Linked DNA regions of Canis lupus familiaris. The protein of the gene in region 3 purifies or fractionates together with the protein of the main gene of each other region. This does not show direct contact. Links are inferred from orthologs where the notes say so. Each region holds a gene or a part of one and is shown on either strand. Other genes may lie near its edges.

What was found.
Region 1: the proteins of NUP62 (region 3) and NUP98 purify together in Homo sapiens (affinity purification with western blotting; 3 studies listed by BioGRID and IntAct, with this or other methods). This does not show direct contact. The link is inferred for Canis lupus familiaris from reciprocal best matches to the Homo sapiens genes NUP62 and NUP98.
Region 2: the proteins of NUP62 (region 3) and NUP88 purify together in Homo sapiens (co-immunoprecipitation; 4 studies listed by BioGRID and IntAct, counting the BioPlex papers as one, with this or other methods). This does not show direct contact. The link is inferred for Canis lupus familiaris from reciprocal best matches to the Homo sapiens genes NUP62 and NUP88.

What each region holds. Positions count from the first base shown.
Region 1 is NC_049242.1:26,465,161-26,469,764, reverse strand, and holds the start of NUP98 (nuclear pore complex protein Nup98-Nup96), read left to right. Parts: upstream 1-1,764; 5' UTR 1,765-1,923; intron 1,924-2,867; exon of another isoform or gene 2,868-2,886; intron 2,887-4,604. Other genes in the region: PGAP2 (post-GPI attachment to proteins factor 2), read right to left, coding at 1,321-1,409. UniProt on the Homo sapiens protein: Plays a role in the nuclear pore complex (NPC) assembly and/or maintenance. NUP98 and NUP96 are involved in the bidirectional transport across the NPC. May anchor NUP153 and TPR to the NPC.
Region 2 is NC_049226.1:31,570,309-31,574,912, forward strand, and holds the start of NUP88 (nuclear pore complex protein Nup88), read left to right. Parts: upstream 1-1,455; 5' UTR 1,456-1,481; coding exon 1,482-1,772; intron 1,773-4,604. Other genes in the region: RPAIN (RPA-interacting protein), read right to left, coding at 262-432, 946-1,209. UniProt on the Homo sapiens protein: Component of nuclear pore complex.
Region 3 is NC_049222.1:107,310,604-107,315,207, forward strand, and holds the start of NUP62 (nuclear pore glycoprotein p62), read left to right. Parts: upstream 1-1,689; 5' UTR 1,690-1,822; exon of another isoform or gene 1,823-2,040; intron 2,041-4,604. UniProt on the Homo sapiens protein: Essential component of the nuclear pore complex. The N-terminal is probably involved in nucleocytoplasmic transport.

The DNA.
Region 1 (4,604 bases), on a different chromosome or scaffold from region 3:
AAATTTGCCCAAATTCACACAGGTAATAAATGGTTGGACTCAGATTTAAACCCAGGGTTCCCTGACTTAAAAGTCTCACACTTCTAAAAAAAAAAAAAAAAAGTCTCACACTTCTACTACTATTCTGCTTAAGACAATAATTCACTCATTCATGCATGAAACATTTAATGTGGACCTACACTGTAGGCCTGGCCTTAGGGATACCAGAATAGTTGTGTTTCAGGACTGAAGGATGAGAAATCAAAGTTTCAGTAGGTCTTTGAGGAAGGTACAGTAAACTATCCAGGGAGAACTAATGACTTTCTAATGTAGAACACAGGCAAGGGAGGGTGGAGGAAAGGAAGGGATGTTTGGATGCAGGAGTGGGGGGAAAGTGGCTGGAGTCAGATGTTTAAACTAGCTTTCCTATTTGAACATCTATATATTTATTTTTTCCTTCCTTTGAACACCAACTGAGCACCTACCAGATGTCTCCTATCCATTATCTTATTTCATCTTTACAACCATTCCGCTTCCTAACAAATTAGCCAATTTTTTCTAATTCCTTGCTACCATTGAACACTAAGAGGGATTTAAATTCATCTACTTTTGTGCAGAGCCCATTTCAGTCTTGTATTGATGTTCCAGGAGAAGGTGGTGGTGGAGAGTAGTCTGAATAGGTTTTGCTTTCTGAGCACAGTCCCTGCTATTCTGTGTCAGGACTCTCAGTTACTGGGTCTGGTTTCTAGAACATGCTCAACATTTCCCCTTGTAATACTTCTGTTTTGGACTAGGCCAGGGTGGGGAAGGGAAACCTTTATGAATAAAATGCCGCTGTGACCTTAAAGAGCCTGGGCACAGAAGACAGAAAAGTAAATAATAGGATACAAAGTGACAAAGCTGTAACAGAGGCCTGCCCAACCAAGCAGTAGCCCAACACTCTGAGACAGATCTGGGAATGTATCCCAGAGAAGGCGGGAACATTTGAACCAGGCCTTTAAGAATAAATAAGAGCTCCTAAAGTGCAGGTGGTTAAGAAGTTCCAAGAATACTCATTTGTAACATATCCTACCCTGAGCCATTCCCTTAGGGCATGCTCATAGCGTCTATTCTGGGGATTCAGAGAGGAAAGGTTGTGACGGGGCCGGCATAGGTTGGGAAACCAGGAGGCCAGGTTTTGGGGCCTCAGAGCAGCTGCAGGCGAGCTATGCGGAGAGACAGACCTCCCAGGAGGGCCCTCCAGCTCCGCACGTGGTCTGGCCAGGAAGTACGGGCAGGACTACGGGGAAGCCTTCCCATCACCGCCCGCGGACTGGGGCAACGAAAGGGTAGAATAGTTACCATGCCATCCTGGAGCCTCCCCTCTGATTGGCCCGAGCTTCAGCAGCCTGACTGTCTCGGCTCCAACGCGGGGGGCGGAGCCTCGGCATAGCGTCACCACCCTTCTCCCGCACCCCGCCCAGTGCACACCAACGCAGCCACTCACAAGCCCGCCTCGCGGGGGCCTTGTGTGACGTCACGACTCGCCCCAGCCAATCGCGGCAGAGGGGGCGGGACTCCCTGTCCCTCCCACCGTCCCTCCCATTTCCCCCCCGTAACTCCTCCCGTTCCTCCTCTTCCCCCTCGCTCCTTCTCCCGAAGACCGCCCTCACGTTCGGTTTCAAAAGACCAGTTGCCCAATGAGTCGCAGGGCGGGCCTAGAGTGGCGGGGGCGTCTGCCAATGCGCAGGCAGCGAGGGCGGAGCGCCCGGGGCGAGCCTGTGACGGTAGGCGGCGTGTGACGCAGTCGGGCCCTCTGCGCGCTGCGCCCGAAGCGGCGGTCGGTGGCGGCGGTGGTATCGGCGGCGACGGTTTCGTGGCGGCCGCGCGCTGCTCCCCGAGCGGCGGGTGGCGGACGGGCCTAGGCCTTCACTCCTGACACTTCCCTTCCCCCACCGCACCGCGGTAAGTGGAGAGCCCGGGCGGTGGCGGCCCCGGACCGACAGGCTCCTCCTCCCCTCTGGGCGGGCGGGTGCGCGGGGCGTCCCAGGCCCTCCGCGCCGAAGTCTCGCGCCCGGGCGCGCACCTTCTGCCCCGAGGGAGGGGGCGGGGCCCGCGACCCCGCGGCCCCGCGGCCCCGCGGCCCCGCGGCCCCGAGGCCCCGAGGCCCGGCTCTGCGGGCGCTGGGAGGGGACCGAGGTCCGGGGAGCCAGGGCCCCGGGGTCTCCCGTGGCAGCCTGCGCTCGGGGAGCGTCCATGTATCTGGTGGTACTCATTCATTTGCCTGGCGGTGATTAGGTGGGCGGGCCCTTTGCGGGGGCCGCGTCTTAGGACCCTGAATAGGATCTCCCCAGCGCTTGCTTGGTTGACGGTCGTTCGGGACGGGCTTTAATTTGCCTTGACGTCTCCACGGGGGAGATGTGCAGCCCGGCGTTTCGGATGGGTGGGTCGGGAGTTTGTTAAGCTTTTTAACACAAGATCTGAGAATTAAGATCGATCTAGTGGAGTAAAAGGTTATTTTCTGCCCTCCCACGTGTTTCGTGTAAAGCTAGAGGAGGAGAAAGGTGGGATTTCTGGATTACTGTAGCTTTGGGGAACCTTAGAAATTAAGCCAATCCCCCTATCGTACATCACGTGCGAGTTTTATAGGTGGAGGAACTGAGGTCCAAAGAAGGGACAGGATTAGGATTAGCCTGTACCAGATCCGCCTCAGTCTAGAAATTTTTCTACTGTATCACTCTCCCTGGGTGTTCCATCCTCCTATTATTGAAGGTTCAATTTGGAACCTTTGGGGGGAGGGGGGTGGGGGCTTCGGTATTTAGAAGCAGCCTTCAACAGCGTTTCTGCGTGGTTACCAGTTCTGTTCGTGTTAAGGCAGAAACTTCATCTGCGGGACCCTAACCTAAACCATGAGAATTAAAAAGTTGGGTAAGGAATGTCGGTGATGTAAATGTATTGGAAACAAATGGATAAGACTCCCATGTCTGGCTAATTTCCTATTCCAAATCTGAAATTATTTGTGTCAGCTGCTGGGGACTCAGGAGACAGAATCCACTTAGTGACTCATAAGAGTTTTGGAATAGAAAGCAGAAAATACAGACAAGACTTAGATAGGCAGCGGTAATTTTGTAGTTCTTGTACCTTGGAATTTATGGCTCCTTCCTGACAGAATTCAAAGTATTGTAGTGGGAAAAGGTGAGGAAATGAAACCTCTCTTTGGAAGCAGAAACTAACTGGAAGAAAAGAGCAGTGATCATCCCCTGTGACGACAGTCTTAGAAATTCAGCTTGTTAACTGGGAGACAGATGATCTATTCACTTGATGGAAGAAGTTAGGAGATTTAAAAAACAAAACCAGAACTGGGACAATTTGCAGGTACTGGGAAATACTTTGACAGAAAAAAAAAAATTTTTTTTTTTGACTCTTCATTAAGATTTGAGGAAATTGAGTTAAAAGTTGCCACTTTGGTCTGTTCACACTGGTCATATCACATGTTCTTGTTTAGATGACAAAGCAAAAACTGAAAACTAGTGTGTAAGAGCAGAAGAGAACGGTAGTCTAAACACAGAAATGTGAAGAGTATATTTTCTGTGACATTTTCTCAGTTCAAGCATCACCCTCTTCTGGGAAGCCTTTCCTGGCATTCTGTCTCCAGCAAGCTTCCATAACACTTATTTGATACTTCTATTTATAGCACACATCATTTTGTATTTTAGCTGTTTATCTTATTAGACTGTGGTAAAATATTTTTATCTTTTTAAAAAAATTATTTATTTATTTTAGAGAGGTGGAAAGAGAGAGAGAGGGAGAGGGAGAATCCAAGCAGACTCCCTGCTGGTGTGGAGCCTGACTTGGGGCTCAAGCTCACAAACCTGAAATAATGACCTGAGCGAAATCAAGAGTTAGATGCTTAACTAAGTCACCCAGGCACCCATTTCTTCTCTTTGTATTCAGATTGCTTGCCACCTAATAGGCGTTCAGTGTTTACTTGAAGGGATAAATAGGGAGCAGGGAGCAGCTAAACCTAAAAATTGTCTATTAAAAGACTGATTATATGTGTGTTCCTGAAATATGGGGCCTAGATAAGAGGACTTACACCGTTCATATGTTTCGTGGTACTTTGGTACCTGACTTTATTCATGTCTCTACTAGTTCCTAGATAGTTGAAATCAAGCTTTTAGGGAACCAAATTAACAGCTCGGAAGAAATTGAGTATATTATTTTATTGTGATATTTTTATTGTAGTAATTAACCTAGGAAGTAAGGGTTACTACTAATGTTTAATTTCCAACAGAGTGCACATCTGTGATTATGCAGTTTGTTGAAAGGTTAGGGGCGGTCTAAGACATTTTTGGAGATTTAACAATATAGATATTAGAGTTAAGGTACCTAAACATTGTTTCTTAAGAATTTGGTGCGTTTCTTTTGGTTAGGAATTGAACCTAAGTATTTGGCATAGCATGTCTCTACAGAAGATTTTTCAGCCTCTGCACTGTTATCATTTTGGGGCAGGTAATTCCTTTTGTCTCAAAGCTATGTTTTGTATTGTAGGGTGTTTAGCAGCATTCCCCACCTTTACCCATTAAATATCCATAACACCTCCTCCCGGAGTTGTAATAATTTGGAAGGTCTCCAAACATTGTCAG
Region 2 (4,604 bases), on a different chromosome or scaffold from region 3:
GAGCTTGACGTGGGACTCGATCCTGGGTCTCCAGGATCACACCCTGGGCTGAAGGCAGGCGCTAAACTGCTGAGCCACCCGGGCTGCCCCTAGAAGAGTGTAACTTTAAAGGTTGAAGAGCCTGCATCAAAGGTGGTTGGAATCCTGACTGGACGCTGGAGGGTGGGTGGGTTCGGAGGACTTGAGGAGAGAGGTACAGAGAGGACCCTGGGCACTGCTGGTGCTGTAGCACCCTCCCTGAAACACGGATCCCAGCCTGACCTGACTCAAGGCTTCTGGGCAGCGCTCCATGGACTGCAGAGCATGCCACTCTTCTTCCATCACTTCTTGCACCAGAAGGGTGCTCTGAGCTCTCCTCGGCACACTGCCTCCAGCCTGGCGGTATCTGTTCAGCAGCCTGTCCCGACTGTTTCTCATTCTCTCCAGGCATCCCTGGGAAGGAGAAAGACGGAAGTGAGTTGGCTAAAAAATAATAATAATAATAATAAAAATTCTTAGAGTGCCTGGGTGGCTCTGTCGGTGAAGCATCTGCCTTCGGCTCAGGTCATGATCTGGTACTGGGACGCTGGGGGGGCAGGGGGCAGAAAGAGACAGCATTTCCTCTGTGGAAGCCCAGCGTCGTCCCCCCAGCACCGCCCCCCGTACACTCCCCCCAACGCCCCGCCCTGCGCCCCTCCCTCAACCCCGCCCCCCAGGAGGTGGCGCGGGGGGCGCGCAGGTGCACTCGCGGCGTGTGGGGCCCCGCACGCAGAGCCCAGAGGTTCCGGGGCGCCCGGCCCGGTGCAGGTCCAGCCTAGCTCATCCCGGTCCCCGCCCGGTCCCGCTCCCGGTCCACTGGGCCCGGCGCTCCGGCACCTGCCTCTCCGGCCCGCGGCACGGCGGTTGCCCGGGCGGATCAGGGCAGTGACGGCAGCCCAGCCAAGGCTCCCCGGAGCCCACGCCCACCTGCCGGAAGGCGTCCTTCCACCGCGGCGAGCCCACCGCCTTGTACAGCGAGCGGCGCCCGGAGCCCGGCGCCTCGGCCATCTCTCTGCAAGCGTCGCCGCCAGGAAGCCGCGCCCCCCGAGGGCGCGCAGGACCCTGGGAATTGTAGTTTGCGGGCTCTCCTCGCGCGCGCCCGCGGGGCGTTCTGGGAACGGCCGTCCCATCTGCCAGCCCCGCACGGAGACGGACTGGGGCGACCCCGAGGATGCGTGGCCGCGGTGGCATTTGTGAGGTCAACCCAACCTGGACTAAGGGAGGTGCGTCTAGGCTTAGACTAGTGTCCGAGCGGCAATCAGAGACGCAGGTCTCCGGCTGCGCTCCGAGGGCTGGCCTTCCCGCAGCGCCGCCCCCGCCTGATTGGCGGCCCTCCCCTCCGCGGGCCGCGTGCGTCCGGGCGTTCCGCTCGCTGATTGGCCGGAGCGCGGCCCGCCGGCCGCCGATTGGCTGTGCCCCGCGGCGCGCGTTGTCACTGGGGGGACGCGCGCAGTGGGGCCAAGATGGCAGCCGCCGAAGGGCCCACGGGTGATGGGGAGCCGTGGCAGTCCTGGCTTCCCAACCACGTCGTGTTCCTGCGGCTCCGCGAGGGGCTGAAGACCCACGGCCCGGCCGAGGCTGAGAAGCCGGCGTCTTCGCCGTCGCCCTCGTCGCCGCCGCCGCTGACGAGGAACCTTGTCTTGGGCCTGGGCGGCGATCTCTTCCTGTGGGACGGCGACGGCAGCGCTTTCCTGGTGGTCCGCCTGCGAGGCCTGGGCGGCGCGGGCGACGAGCCCTCCTTGTCCCAGTACCAGGTAGGGCCTCACCGGGGGCCGGCAGCGGAGGGCGCGGGTGTGCCCAGCACGGGTGCCCCGCAGGTGTGCGACGCCGGTGTCAGCGCTCGTCCTCTGGGGCGGCCGGTTCGGGCGGAAGTTGCCTCTTGTCCTCTTGCTTCCGTCCTCCTCATGGCCACTTTGGCAGCCTCTCCCGGGTTTCGTTCCTTCGTCAGAGGTTTGCCGCCTCCCGCACGCTCTCGGGGTGCTGCGGTTCTTGGGGGGCCCGGGGGAGGGGAGGGACCGTGGGAAAGCCAGCAGTGCGGGTACTTGGAAGGAAAACAGGTGAGCGGAGACAGACCGTAGGAGGTGGGTTCTGAGAAACCCGCGGATCGCAGGGACAGTCCTGACTCTCCTGGGGTTGGTGTGAGCAGCAGTCAGGTGGGAGATCTGAAAGCGACCAGTCTCCAGTTTTGTGCCTGACGTGGACCAGGAATCCCTGGTAATTCTTTCTTTTCCTTTCTGGAAAATGAGCCCATTCCCAAAATTGGGAGACAATCTTTGTTTTTCTTTTTAAAGAATTTATTTATTTACTTACTTACTTATTTACTTATTTACTTATTTATTTATTTATTTATGAGAGAGAGAGAGAGAGAGAGAGAGAGAGATGGAGAAGCAGGCTCCCTGCGGGGAGCTAGATGTGGGGCTCAATCCCAGGACCTCGGGTCACGTCCTGAACCCGAGGCAGATGCTCAACCACTGAGCCACCCGGGTGCCCCCAGGTTTGTTTTTGTTTTTTAAAGATTTTATTTATTTACTTATTTATTTATTCATTCATTCATTCATTCATGAGAGACAGGGGGAGAGAGAGAAAGAGAGAGAGAGACAGAGAAATAGGCCCCATGCAGGGAGCCCAATGTGGGACTCGATCCCGGGACTCTGGGATCATGCTCTGAGCTGAAGGCAGTGTTTTGTGTGTGTCTGTGTGTGTGTGTAGGTTTTATTTATCAGGTGCCCCCAGTTTTGCTTGTTTTTGATTAGCTGCTAGCATCTGAAAGCGGTGTAGACAGAAAGCATTCCAGACTTGCTGCAGCGGAACGTTGTTCTAAGGAAATGTGTACTTGTAAGGAAATGTGTACTTGTAATAAATGGATTCTGGCCTTTTAAAGGACTAAAAGATAAAAAGGTGCCCCCACCCCCCATCCTAATGCAGGGCGTCTGTTGTGAGCCACTTGCCGAATCTTGTAAATGAGAAATGATCGGCTTTTGCTAGCTGTGTTTCTGCAGTTTTGAAAACAGGTCACAAGTCAACAATCTACTTTCTGTCAAATTGTGGCTTAGGAGAGTAATTCTCATGTTCAGCACACCCTGTTAGCAGCATTTGGAGCAGGCAAGACTAAATTGATTCATACTTGTCTTCTTTTCTACCCTGTAACCATGGCGGGGGGCAGGGGCTGTCTTTCTTTGTTATTTTTGTATTCCCCCTCCTTCACTGGGTGCTCTCAGGAAATCCTAAAGGACTGTCAGGTGGGAAAGTGCTTAGCAGGAGTTGCAATTTTAAATAATAACAAAAGAATAGTGACTTTAGAAACAAAACCACCTAAGCCCTGTAATTACCACACTTGATCTCAGCTGTTTGGGTTGTAAATAAAGCAGGAGAGGATGGGGATTGAGAAGCCAGGGGAAAAAAAGAACCTCTTATGGGAGAACAACCTTTTGGTTGGAATGGGTGAAGGGACAGTCACCTGAGTGGCTCAACAGTTGAGCATCTGTCTTTGGCTCAGGTTGTGATCCCGCGGTCCTGGGATCGAGTCCCAGATTGGGCTCCCTGCATGGAGCCTGCTTCTCCCTCTGCCTGTGTCTCTGCCTCTCTCTCTCTGTCTCTCATGAATAAATAAACTCTTAAAAAAACAAAAAAAAGGAACAGGTGAAGGGTAGGCTTACAGAGCTCGGTGACAAGCAGCAGAGATCTCAGGGTGTTCAGAATGGTCTTATCTAAAAAGATCCTGGCTGAGGGTGAGGATGAGATACGTTGGCTGTCTTGTGGTGTGTTGGGGAAAGTGGAAAAGACAGAAGATGGTGATGTGGTGGTCAGGAGAGAAGCAGGACAAGCCTGTGAGAAGTACGTTGTTCCGAGGGCTGGTAACGCTGAGAAAGCGGCTTATCAGAACCCCTGAAAACGCCACCACTCCATGGAGCAGCTACGTGGGTACAGCAGCGTTTCACTGGCCGCAGAAGCTCTTGAGGCTGTTCCCTGTCCTGCTGGGCTGTTTCTTTTTTCCTTTTTTTTTTTTTCCAAGATTTTATTTATTTACTCATGAGAGACACAGGCAGAGACACAGGCAGAGGGAGAAGCAGGTTCCATGCAGGGAGCCCGATGCGGAACTCAATCCTGGGACTCCAGGATCACACTCTGGGCCGAAGGCAGGTGCCAAACTGCTGAGCCACCCAGGGATCCCCAACTGAGCTGTTTCTAATGTAGCATCTCAGCTGCCATTTATGAACACTTCTGAGTTCTTCACTACTCGCTTCACTAAAACTTATTGAGAGTCAGCAGGATGCTACATACTATGCTGAGGGTGAGAGAGGAAGACGCATCACAGTTGTGCAGGATGGTCAACTGAAGGGATGACCAGAATGCAAGGTGGTAAGAACCATGATAGAATGATCCAGAGTGTACAGAAGATGCACGCACACCTGGCTGGAAGATCTGGGTGATTGCTTAGGCCGTCTCCCGGACCATGACAGCCAGCCACAAAAGGAGAAGGAAGAGCTGTCGAGAGACACAGGCTCACAGAGTGTGATGGCTTTGTGGAGACACAGCTGGCCTGGTGGTGTGTGGAGGCTGTCGGGGGCGGACTGGAGTTCAGTCAT
Region 3 (4,604 bases):
CTGGGCCCCACTTCTCTTCTCTTCTCTTCTCTTCTCTTTTCTTTTCTTTTCTTTCTTTCTCTCTCTCTTTTCTCTTTTCTTTCTTTTCTTTCTTTCTTTTTTTTTAAATCCATGAGATACACAGAGCCAGGCAGAGACATAGGCAGAGGGAGAAGCAGGCTCCCCCTGGAGAGCCCAATGCAGAACTTGTCCCAGGACTCTGGGATCACACCACCTGAGCCAAAGGCAGATACTTCTCCACTGAGCCACCCAGGTGCCCCTCTTTGGGCCCCACTTACTTTTCTTTAGAATTCCCAAGCCCTGTTCCTTCCTATACAAAAACCTAATGGTCTCCCAGGGGAATTTCCTTAAGCCCTTCCCTCCCACCTCACAAAATTACACTTCATTAAAAAAAAAAAAAATCAGGGCAGCCCGGGTGGCTCAGCGGTTTAGCGCCGCCTTCAGCCCAGGGCCTGATCCTGGAGACTCGGGATCAAGTCCCACGTCGGGCTCCCTGCATGGGGCCTGCTTCTCCTTCTGCCTGTGTCTCTGCCTCTCTCTCTCTCCTCTCTGTGTATTCTTATGAATAAATAAATAAAATCTTTTAAAAAAAATTTCAATCCCAGGAGAATTTTCTTCCAGCCACACCCCTTCCTCTAAAGTATTTCCTTTAGGCTCCATCCCATCTAAACACTCGGCTCAAAAATCAGCTCCCAGGGATCCCTGGGTGGCGCAGCGGTTTAGCGCCTGCCTTTGGCCCAGGGCGCGATCCTGGAGACCCGGGATCGAATCCCACGTCGGGCTCCTGGTGCATGGAGCCTGCTTCTCCCTCTGCCTGTGTTTCTGCCTCTCTCTGTGTGACTATCATAAATAAAAATTAAAAAAAAAAAAATCAGCTCCCAGGGGAATTCCCCCAGCCCTGCCCCTCCAAACCGTGGTCTACTAAGTCCCACGGCTTCTTTTTAGCTTCGCGGTGACCGCCCCAGTCCCTTCCCGTCCAATTACCTTAGCCCCCCACTTCATTCCCGGGGATACCCCAGAGGCCCCGCCTTCTCTCCGTTGAAACCCCACCCCAGGTAAATTTGCTTAACCACGCCCCTTCTCACGATAGACCCCCGCCCACCCGTCGCAGCCGCTGATCCTAGCTCCACCCCCCTCCTTACAGGTGGCCTCTAAGCCTCGCCTTCCGCCCTGTCAATCTGAGTCAGCCCCACCCAACCCCGCCCCAGCAGGTGCCCGAATGAAACATAAATTGTGTTGTGCGCATGAGCAAGGTGGAGCTCGGAGACGGGAGCCGGCCGGCGGAGCCACACGCCTCTCTCGCAGGGCTAAAGCGCATGCTCTGCCACTGATCCAATTGTTCTCTCAGGCCTGCGGGGTTGGGGAGTCAGTGCGCATGTGCAGCTGCTTACTGCCCGCCCTTCACTCAAAAAATACGGAGTCTGGTGGGCTTGTGCACGTGAGCAACCGCTCGCGGACAGACTCATTCGGGGAGCGGGGGGCGACCCCCGCTCGGGGCTAGTGCGCAGGCGCACTGCGTGCAGGCCATCTTTAAACTCCAGCATTCTAGGGAAGAACGTACCCTTCCCCCACTGGACCGAATGCGCATGCTCGGCCGCGTGCCAACGACGCGTTTCCCTCTTCTGCGCCTGCGCGACCGTGATTCCTCACTCTCGTCTCCCCACCCCCCAGGCCTGGTCGTGAAGGCCGCGAGCTTCGAAAGGGCGGGAAAGGCGGTTGGAGAGGGAGGGGCGAGCGGTTACTCACTCCATGGCTACGGAAAGGAGAGGCGGCGGCAGCCTCAGCTGAAGAAAAGAAGGCGGTAGAGAAGAGCGCAAGCGCGGTGAGCGCGGAAACGGGCCGGGACACGGAGGGGTCGCGGCTACAGAGCCATAGCCGGGGTTGGGCGGGCGGAGATGGCGTCTCGGTAGCCTGAGAGGAGATTGTGATCTGTGGATGGGGAATGAGGCGGCCCCGGGGAGTGGGGACAGATATACAGGGGATGGCGCAGCACGGCCTCCCCGGATCCATCCGCGCCCCGCCCCGCCAGGCCCCAACCGGGAGGCGGGCCTGGCCTCTCCTCTCGGGAATCCTGGAATCCACTCCCCTCCTCCTCCCGACGCGGAGTTAGGCCTTTTCCTTCCTCTGACCCGGGGACCAGCTCCGTCTTCCTACCCCAGGGGTTCCGGCCCCCGTCCTCCTTCCAACTCTGGGGTCCTGTTCTCTGTCTCTCTGACTCAGGTCCCCTCCCCCCCAATTCTAGGGATTCGATCCCTCGCCTTCTCTGAGACCTGCCCTAGTTCACTTTTGGTTTCTTTTGCCCTAGTTCTCGAATTTCCGGCCAGCCACATGCTGGACTCCTATCCCCAAACTGCCGCCCCACGCTAAGAACCCTTTTTGTGGGTTAGACTCTTGTCTGAGTCACAATGAGACCGCGCGCGCCGTTCAAATCTCAGACCTGCGATGGTGGCCAAATAATCAAGTTCTCTAGTCTCGTAGATCGAGAACTGCCTGTAAAATGAAGAAAATAATCAACTCTGCCTGATGAGAATCAAGTCGATGCCTGTGAAACCCAGAGCCCGGCTCTTAATTGCCTATTTAATGTATCTTATTTTTAATAGGAACTCTGGGGTTGAGTCTCAACCATACCTCCTGCCCTGGCAAGATCCCCAGACATTTGACCATACAATAGCTGCTAGTAGGTCATTCTTGTGTCTTCTTCACTTCTTCAAGGTGTCAGTAATTGCCAGACATCCCCACCTTTCCCTGTTCCAGATGATGGACGCTCACCCGCAACACCAGCACAGTTGCAGAGAAGCAGGCATCATCACCCTGACTGTAGCTTTTCTCCATCCTCTGCCCACCTCCCATCAGCCCTTATCCTTAGCCCTCCTTTCAGGCCAGTTGGTTCTGCTTCAGCTGCCCCCCACTGGATCAGTTTACCAACCCTGCCCCAAAATAGGGAGATCTGCACTGCCCTTTGCTAAAAGAGAGGGGGCTTCCTGGCCATTCCCTCCTATGCACTAGACCCTCCACTGGCCCAAGTGGGTATGGGTCTTTACTTCCCACCTTGCATCTGTCCACAGCAGGACACCTAGAGTTCAACTTAACATCACGGGTGGTGGTTCTGAGGTCCAGAGAAGGTGGGGGAACTCTGATCTTGAGACTTATTTGGGAATGAAGATAGCAGGCTTCAGTTGCATGCAGGAAGTCCTTCTTGGGATCTGACCACTTTCACTTAGAGCACTTACTGTGTACTGTGCCAGTATTTGAAGATTTGACCTATAGGGGCTAGGTTATTACCTAGGCAGCATGAGTAGCAGTTAAGTGCAGACTCTGGCGCCCAGTTTTGGGTTCAGACCTTGTCTCTACTCCACTTATTAGCTTACTGTCAATTTCTTTTTTTCCCTGTGCCTCGGTTTCCACTACGTTCAAATCTCAGACCTGTGATGGTGGCTACATTATTTTATCGCTACGTTTCTATTAACTCCATATAGAAACTTAGCGATACATGTGGCAGCTAACAGTGCTTACTTCTGGGGTGCCTGGCTGGCTCAGGCGTGTGACTCTTGATCTTCAGGTTGTGAGTTTGAGCCCCACATCAGAAGTAGAGTTTACTTAAAGAAATAGTGCCAGGCAGCCTGGGTGGCTCAGCGGTTTAGCGCCACCTTCAGCTCAGGGCCTGCCTGTTCCTGGAGACCTGGGATCGAGTCCCACATTGGGCTCCCAGCATATGGAGCCTGCTTCTCCCTCTGCGTGTGTCTCTGCCTTTCCCGGTGTCTCTCATGAATGGATAAATAAAATCTTAAATAATAATAATAATAATAATAAGTAGTGCCTACTTAGTACTGTCACAAGGATTCAATGAGTTAATTCATAATTCAGGTCAAGCATTTAGATTAGTCCTCCTTTCTGCCCCCCCAAATCTTAAGTCTTCTAAAAACATCTAGTATGTACACATGGACTAGGCAATTTAAGTAAATTTTTATTTTAGAATAATTTTATTTTTGGGCAGCTCCAGTGCCCCAGCGGTTTAGCACTGCCTTCAGCCCGAGGTGTGATCCTGGAGACCCAGGATCGAGACCCACGTCGGGCTTCCTGCATGGAGCCTGCTTCTCCCTCTGCCTGTGTCTCTTCCTCTGTGTGTGTGTGTGTTGGTCATGAATAAATAAATTAAAAATCTTTAAAAAAAATTTTTTTTTATTTTTACAGAAAAGTTACAAACATAGTGCGGAGAGTTTCCATATACCCCACATCCATTTTCCCTGTTGTTGACCTCTTTAACATTTCTGTGATATATTTGTCACAACTAAAGAACCCACGTCGGTATGGGATTTTAAAGTGCACACCTCATTTTGATATTCTGATTTCACTAGTTGTTTTTGTTTTTGTAGATATTTACTTTAGAGAGCACAGGCAGGGGGAACAGCAGAGGGAGAAGCAGGCTCCCCACTGAGCAAGGAGCCCTACCCAGGGCTTGATTCCAGGACCTTGGGATCATGACCTGAGCAGAAGGCAGATGCTTAACCAACTGAGCCACCCAGGCACCCCTCGCTAGTTGTTCTTAATGCTGTTTTTTTGTTCCAGGATGCCATATCACATTTAATCATCGTGTCTCCTTAGCC